Coturnix japonica: one gene and its partner. The protein of the gene in region 2 purifies or fractionates together with the protein of the main gene of each other region. This does not show direct contact. Links are inferred from orthologs where the notes say so. Each region holds a gene or a part of one and is shown on either strand. Other genes may lie near its edges.

What was found. The genes of interacting proteins can lie anywhere in the genome.
Region 1: the proteins of MICALL2 (region 2) and RAB8A purify together in Homo sapiens (co-immunoprecipitation; 3 studies listed by BioGRID and IntAct, with this or other methods). This does not show direct contact. The link is inferred for Coturnix japonica from reciprocal best matches to the Homo sapiens genes MICALL2 and RAB8A.

The regions. Positions count from the first base shown.
Region 1 is NC_029543.1:3,483,455-3,487,485, forward strand, and holds the start of RAB8A (ras-related protein Rab-8A), read right to left. Parts: upstream 2,810-4,031; 5' UTR 2,580-2,809; coding exon 2,456-2,579; intron 2,073-2,455; coding exon 2,012-2,072; intron 1,832-2,011; coding exon 1,771-1,831; intron 1,455-1,770; coding exon 1,377-1,454; intron 993-1,376; coding exon 903-992; intron 224-902; coding exon 158-223; intron 1-157. Other genes in the region: TPM4 (tropomyosin alpha-4 chain), read right to left, coding at 3,495-3,577. UniProt on the Homo sapiens protein: The small GTPases Rab are key regulators of intracellular membrane trafficking, from the formation of transport vesicles to their fusion with membranes.
Region 2 is NC_029529.1:2,641,216-2,645,439, reverse strand, and holds the start of MICALL2 (MICAL-like protein 2), read left to right. Parts: upstream 1-1,421; 5' UTR 1,422-1,498; coding exon 1,499-1,641; intron 1,642-4,224. UniProt on the Homo sapiens protein: Effector of small Rab GTPases which is involved in junctional complexes assembly through the regulation of cell adhesion molecules transport to the plasma membrane and actin cytoskeleton reorganization.

The sequences.
Region 1 (4,031 bases), on a different chromosome or scaffold from region 2:
AGCTTTGTTTAACAATAATCTGCCCTTCTGACTGTAACAGCCCATATGAAGTATCAGCAGTTGAGTTCTGCACTCAGTCAGGATGGGCAACTGTTCTTACAGCTTATCTTCACGCGTTATAAGACAATAAATACAAGAGAAAGGTCGCAGTACTTACATTCTCTATGTTTATATTTGCTTTTGCACTGGTCTCCATGAATTTAATTCCAAAACTCGCTGCAAGCTGAACAAAAGCAGGTTCTGTGTTAGTCGGGTGGCTGCAGGAACAGCCATAAACATAACAGACAGCGCGGGATCTCCTCCACAAACCAGGAACTGAGCTGCATTGCTATCAGCATCTGTTCTTACTGGACTTTGTTCTTCTTTTTCATAGAACAAAACACACATTTTTGTCTGCTCCTTTGTCTTTAAATACATACATCTATTTCTAACAGATACCTTGTCAGTTCTGTAACGTCTGTGGTACATAAAAGTACATTCTCTACTTTAACTGACATCCGATGCCAGAAACAACAACCCTGCCTACCTGTGTATGACAAAAGCAGCCATTCCTAAATGATTTTCTTTCTTTGGCTGAGAACTCAGTTACTCCGCATCTAACATCTCAACCAGGTAACCCAGCTGCATTCTGAACAGACTCATCTTTTTGTTGGACTGCAGCTACAGCTTGGGAAGCGTTCGGTAGCTGCACTCAGAAGTTCCACTGAGGAGGCACACACAACGATGAGCGCTGCTGTTACACTGCAGCACAGGCTGCTTCTGCTCAGGCAGCAACTGCACTTTGCATCAGTGCTGGCAGGAAGGAGCTCAGCAGGCTCTGCAGACACTGATCACCCCAGGGAGCACTGACTTCTACGTACTGCCTTCACCTTCAGCATCTGGGCGCAGCCCGTGACACTTACCTTCTCCCCTTGCTCTCTAGAAACTTGTCTTTTGTCATTTGCATCACATTTGTTCCCAAGGATCATTTTTTCAACGTCCGGAGAGGCATGCTGAGATAGGAACAGAGGAAAGAAAGGACTGTGTTTATGTCTTACAAATACTGCCAAATGACGAGGTTTCCATCAAGAACTTCAAATGGATACATGGGTGCTGAGCACTCTGTAGGTTTCTGAGCTCCTGCACAGCACCTGATCCCAGCACTGCACTGCAGGCACCGACTGCTCTGTGAGCGCCCTGTGAACCATCAGCTCTGTGCCAGGAAAATCAAATCAAAAGCACACACTGCAAATTTGTTACCCACAGCATTCCCTGACTTTCATTTAATCTATTTTCTACCCACTCTAAATTTGAAAGAAGTGTTACTGAAGCATTTAATTTCCAACTGCTTTTGGAGGGAGAAACAGCACCTTGAATGTCAAGTAAAGAGAAGTTACCTCTTCAATGTTCCTGACCCAGTTCCGAATATTTTCAAAAGACTTTTCATTGGTGATGTCATAGACCAACATAATGCCCTGAGGAGGAAGGAGAGATACTTGTTTTGGCTATGATCATATATGCAACAGTTAAACCTGTCTGTAACAGAAAGGAGTGCCTTAAGGACTGATAAAGAAGAGCTGTTTCAGCACAACCCGGAACGTCAGCGCGTGTTGCCAGATGCAATGATGGGGTGTGAGCTCAGTGAGTCACTGCAGCCGTCTGCCCCGGGCCCTCCCAGCACCCAGCACAGCGCCGGCGCTCAGCCAAGTCCAGGCAGCTGTGCCTGCAGCACTGCAGGCTGCTCTGATACTGCTCTGCTGGGAGCCGAACCGCCCTGCGCCGCGCTCCTACCATGGCTCCCCTGTAGTACGCCGTCGTGATGGTGCGGAATCGCTCCTGCCCGGCGGTGTCCCTGCAACAGATGGAACGAGGGGTCACACACCTCCCACCTTAATGCTGTCAGACATTCATGTCACACGTTGGTCTTCACGTGCACTAAAACTGCTTTAGTTTAATGATACCGCTGAAGAGCACAACTGCACACAAAGTAACAGCACTGCACTGCAGCACCGACTGCATCAACGAGCCTCACCATATCTGCAGCTTGATCCTCTTGCCATCGAGCTCTATAGTCCTGATCTTAAAGTCAATGCCTGCAACGACAAACAACTCATTACATTTAACTTCTACAGAGGACAAACCAACGCTTTTCCCTCCGCTTCCCCCCGACCAGACTGTGCCGCACAGCGTCCCCACGGCCGGGACGGAACCGCGGCTCAGCGCCCGCAGCGCCCCGCGGGATCGGACCCGAACCGAGCGCAGCGACAAGGCCCGCAACGCACCGCCCGACAGCACCGCCACACAGACAGCACCGCCACACAGACAGCACCGCACCGACCGACGGCACCACACTGCACTGCACTACGGCACCGCACGGCCCGACGGCACCGCGGCGCGGCACGGCACGGCACGGCACAGCCCCGTCCCGGCCCGCAGCGCCCCCCGCGCTGTGTGCAGCCCCGGCCGCCCCGCGCACCGATGGTGGAGATGAAGGTGGCGTTGAACGCATCCTCGGAGAAGCGGAAGAGCACGCAGGTCTTGCCCACGCCCGAGTCGCCGATGAGCAGCAGCTTGAACAGGTAGTCGTACGTCTTCGCCATGTTCCCGGGCGCCGCCCCTGCGGCACCGCCCGCCCCCCGCGCCGCCTCACAGGCCGCGCCCGCCGCCCATCACGGCCCGCAGCGCGGCGATTGGCCGAGCGGAGCGTTACGTCACCGCCGACCCGGTGGGCGGGACCTCGAGCCGCCGCGCCATTGGACTCCGCTCGCGACGTAAGCGGCACCGCGATTGGCCGCGCGCTCCCGGCGCAACGTCACTTCCGGCCGCGAGCGGAAGGCGCCCGTCTCCGCGCGAGTAGAAGCCGGAGGGAGGGGACGGGGCGCGCGGGCAGCGTCACGTGGCCTGTCGGCTCGTGACGTCACCGAGAGGCGGCGCGGCGCAAGGAGCGGAGCGGCGGGAATGGCGGAACACGTGTAACACGTTTAATGCGCGACGCCACGTCCGGGATGAGCGGAACCGGGACGAGCGGCGGCAGAGCGCAGCGGTGACGCGATGAGGGCGGGTTTCGTCTTCCGGCCGCGGCGTTCCCCGGGTCATATACAGTTCAGTTCGTTTAGTGTCTGGTCCAGCGTCTGGTGCAGCCCCAGGTTCTCCTCCTTCGCTTGAGCGAGTTTGTCTGGAGGAAGGGAGCAAAAAAAAGGCGTAAAGCGGACAGTGCTGCGCTGCTGTGCCGTACAAACACCGCCCGATGCGCCGGAAACAACAGCGCTGTCGGGTTTGCGGTTGCTCCGGTTTTTCGGAGCTGCCCGGCGCCCCCCGCTGAGCACCGAGCGGTACTTACAGCGTCAGTACTGATAAGGAAACAAAGCCCCAAAGCGGACAGGTAAAGGCATCTGATCTTTATTGAGCGCAGTTCTTACAGAGCAGGCTGAAGGATGGATCGCTTTTAGCACAGAAGGAATTACAGGCAAGAAGAGCATAAGAGATACAGCAAACGGAGCACCGAGAGGTGCAGACTACAGGGAGGTCATGTCATTGAGCGCGTGGTCCAGCTCCTCGCTGATTGCTTTGTACTTCAGTTTCTGAGCATACAGCTCATCTACCAGGCAGAGGCACAGAGAACAGCGCAGGGGGAGAGGCGGACAGCAGAGGGCACGAGGACAGGCAGAAGGCAGCAACCAGAGCAGTTGGAGGGGGATACAAAAGAAAACAGAGCTATGATGGAGCAGCAGTGCGGAAGCAGAAATACAGAAATATGGGCAGCTGCCACGTCAGACACTTCATCTACAGATCTCAGTTATTTCTCAGCCATCGGGCTAAAGAGCATCACGACTTTGTTACTGATTGAAATGGGTCTTACGATTCTAAGCTTGTGAGCTGGCCCAACAAAAGTTCATTGTTCACAAGGATTTGATAGAGAACCCCTTCCAGAGCAATTCTTCCCTGGCCATGAGGCAGCACCAGCCCTGCACGGCCCGCCCGGACAGCCGGCACCTGGCTGTCCTTCCCCAGCAGAATACAAAACCCATTTGAAAAGGAATGTGTAATTTCGT
Region 2 (4,224 bases):
TAGTATAAAGTGATCTATAAATGTGTAATAAATGTTTTATAATGTTTTTGCAACACGTTATAAATGATAAATGAGTGACTATATATGCCATATAAAATATGCATGCTGCATTGTGTGCATTATTATGCCGTTACTGTTCAGGAAACCATTAATAATAAAGTGAATGGAGATGTAAAAGTTGCTGACATGCCCAGCAAGCCATTTATAATGAAATGTATAATCCTTACCATAAAGTAAATACATTGGCCAGTGATTGTTGATGAAATGGAAACACGCTGAATTATTTGTAAGGTATTTATATATTAATGTATATTATCCATATCATGTCATGAAAACACCATCAATATATTAGAGTATATGTATTATTAATTATTTTTTACCTGATTTATAGGCAGCTCCTAAAGCGTTACCTTGTCTCTTCCGCAGCCACGTGTGACTCAGTCTGGTGACTTATGATTTGGATGTGGGTGATGGTATAAACTCACTGTGGTGCTTCTTCCCCCAGCTGTGCCACCTGTGCAGGCCTGGAGCTGCGTCTCCACAGCCTCAATTCAGCCACACTGAGGTCATCATAGGCTTTCCTTGCACTTGTGTTTTGTGCTCTGAGCTGGAAGGAATGGACCCTTTGGGGCCACCTGGTCCCACTGTGTGCAGTGATACAGGGATACCACAGCTCCATCACACAGAATCACAGAATGACCCGGGTTGGAAGGGACCTCAAGGATCATGTAGTTCAAACCCCCTGCCTGGCAGGGCCACCAAACATACACATTTACTAGATCAGGTTGCCCATGGCCCCGTCCAACCTGGCCTTGAACACCTCCAAGGACGGGGCATCCACAACCTCCCTGGGCAGCCTGTTCCAGGGCCTAACCACTCTCCTAGTGAAGAACTTCCCCCTAACATCCAACCTAAATCTTCCTTCTTTTAACTTAAAACCATTTCCCCGTGTCCTGCTATTGTCAGCCCTTTTGGAGAGTTTCCTCCCCTCCTGGGAGTAAGTTCCCTTCAGGTATTGAAATCTGTTCCTTGAGCTCGGGTGTGTGAAGGGATGGGGCTCTAACTGCTCTGTGCGCCCCATCCCACCGCCTCACGGCTCTTAAAACGTTTTCCTTATACACTGCTATAGCTGCCCTCTTTTAGTCTGAACCATCCTATGGCCGGGATGTTCCTGAGCTGCAGCTCCAGCCCCCGCTACGTCCGCCCATTGGTTTCACACAGTGCGGATCCCGGCCCATCTGCCCGCGTTCTCTCCACACAGCGAGGCCGTGCGTAAACCGGTACCAGACGGGCGGCCTGCTCGGCCCTGACACCACATGAAAACGCTATGAGTGTAACAGAACTGCCCTTATCCGTGTGCCCCGCACGGCGGCTGAGGCGGGCCCGGCTGTGGGCGGCCGTGAGGTACCGCCGGCTCCCGCCCCTTTCCCCGCCTCCTCCTCCCTCCGTCCGCCTCACGCCCGCGGCTCCCGCAGGCGGCACGGCCCGGGGCTGCGCTATGGCTGCCATCCAGAACCTGCAGCTGTGGTGCAAGCAGCAATGCGAGGGTTACCGAGATGTCAGCATCACCAACATGACCACCTCGTTCCGCGACGGGTTGGCGTTCTGCGCCATCCTGCACCGCCACCGACCCGACCTCATGTGAGTACCGGCACAGCCCGGCCCTCAGCCGCTCCGTTAGCTCCGATGTTGAGTCTGCTTTCCCTCCTTCCCTCCTCCTGCAGGGAGCTGTGGCTGTCAGATAAACCTGCACAACATCTTTAGGCATCGCTTTGGGGTTTCGTTCATCGCTGTCTGTGTTGGTGGGGCGGTGCGTCCTCCCATCCCGTACATTGCAGCTCTATCGCTGCGTTCCCGTGCACGGTTCTGCCCCTTTGCTTCTTTCTTTGCTGTCATCCCGTGGTTTTTGACCTGCCCCTGCCCCAAACGTAACGCCCGGCTATGAGAATTGTTAAAGGAAACTGAAAATTAACTAGGGATTGTCCTAGGTTTGGTCTTTTTTAGAAGGAATTCTGGGCTCGTTGCACTTTGTTGCGGGGGATTGAGGAGGGAGCAGGCAGTGGAATAGCACAGGCCAGGTGTGTTGGTTTAAGCATTAGGTCATTCCCAGTGAGACGTGGCTGATGGGGTGTGTGTTCTTTACTGGAGTTTTCCGATTGTTTCTTGAGTTCTGCCTTCCCTTGGTTTCCCAATGCAGCCCGGCACCTCTTTATGTGTAGAGATCCTTTATAGGTGTCTCAGTGCTGATGGAAGCCCAAGGACAAGCTGTCGTTTAGCACTCACTCCTCTCCATAGCTTTGAAACTTAGAAGGGGCTGGAGCAGCCTTGAGAGCAGCAGGAACTATTACACGCCTGCTCTGCCATTCCCTGGGCTGTCACCATGGTGTTGCTGTGTGTGGCTTCCTGATGTGCTGTCACATCCACGTGGCTCCAGATATTTCCCTTCCTTCCATTCATTCACTGTCCCAAAGGTAGGAAATATCAGAGCAGAAAGGCTGACGTGATGGGAGGTGCTCACGGACTGGCCTGGGGCTGCTTCCTGGCCAGCTCTGCTGCCAGCCCATCTGGAGTGTGAGTGTGAGCAGGGCTCAGCATCTGGGAACTGGGACCCCTTTAGTGGGTTGTTACAGTCCTAGAAGTGTGTGCTGGGGTTGTGGATAGATGTATGTAAAGTAAATGTTTCTGTGTTGGAGAGGGGAAAGGATCCCTGCAGCATCTTTGTTCCTGCTGAACTTATCTTGTGCTGGAAATCCTACAGGACTTTGCAAAAACCCTTTTTGACTTGGACCAGCTCAACAAGGCTGCCTGGGGGTGAAAGTGAGAGAAGCTTTCGGTATGACTTCCCTCCTCAGCGTCAGTGGTGCAATGTAGGAAATCACCAGGTATACCCTTGCCTGGACAAAGTCCTGCTGCAAGTAAATTATACTTTCAAATAGTCGTCATTTCAGGCCGTCACGTGTAACTCAGCTCCCAGGGCTGAGTATTCGTGCAGCTTCCTTGTGAATCTATAAAAGCCCTTGTGGCAGTTTGGCAGCTGGGTGTACGTGTGGCTGTGATTTTTGCTTCCTGGGGGCTCAAACTGGTTTATCCTGAGCTCCTCCTCTTGTTCTTAGAAAAGCTGAGGATTAAACACATCACACTGAAAAGAAAACCAGAATTGAGTAACTGGTGTTAGCAGTGGCGGTGTGTTTGCTGCAGCCCTTGTATATAAATTGCTTGCAGGACATGATTCAGTCACAGCAGCAGTTTTGTAACAGTGTGTTTTCCGTCTTGGTTTACATTCCTGGGCTGAAGAGTGCATGATATGGAGAGGTGATTTCTCCTTGAAAGAGCCTGAGGAGTTCATAGGAAAACTTGAAGCAATTACAAATTGTGGTAATAATCATGTGCTTCTCTTGTGGGTTCCATGGGTCAGAGGGCAGGTTGGTGCAGGGCTCTTCCCTGTTCTTGTTTTCTTGCCAGGAAACATACGGACAACATGATAATTCCTCTCAGACTTAACCAGTTCTGTGTGTTATCAGTGAGCAGGACAGGCTGTGTAAAATAAGAAACCCATTTCCAATTCACTTCCCACTCACCCAGGGATGCACAGACAGGCTGAGCTCTGTGGGAGCAGAGGCACACACTGAATTACCATGGAAATCTGTTTCTCCTTCATCCCAGCTGAAGTGTGTGTGGTACCCAGCCATGGGTGTGAGCCCATTCTGGGATGGTGGCAGAGCATTAAAGTCCCTGTGGTCAGAGGGAGCACAGCCTCACAGTGGTGTGCCCTGCTCTGCAGCCAGCTCTGGCTGGAGGTTTCTCTGCTCCCCATCCGATAAGTGAGTTAAAAGCAGCAGGGGAGCCGCCCACACTCTCTCTGTTATTGATGCCAGATGTTGAATAAAGGTTTTGATTAAGCTCCTTCATCCTGGATCCTGCTCGTTCCCAGAGTGCTGGCAGCGTTCTGGGAATGGGATGGTTGTGAAATTCCCCTTGACAGCTGTGCACTTGGGCATGCATGTTTGGTGGCCAGAACAGAGCAGCTGTGTGCACCCGTTCCTCCAGCAGCATTTTCTGGGTCGCTGTCAGCTAAGCCAGGCAGGATGAGGCTGTGAGCTGCCAATGTGGCCAGGCAGTTGATAGCCTCTGGACTTTTCCTACTTGGTGAAGGCTCTGAGTGTGCAAAGCATCAGCACAGAGGAAGCACATGTAATTGCAGAGGACTTTGTGAGCATGCAGTGG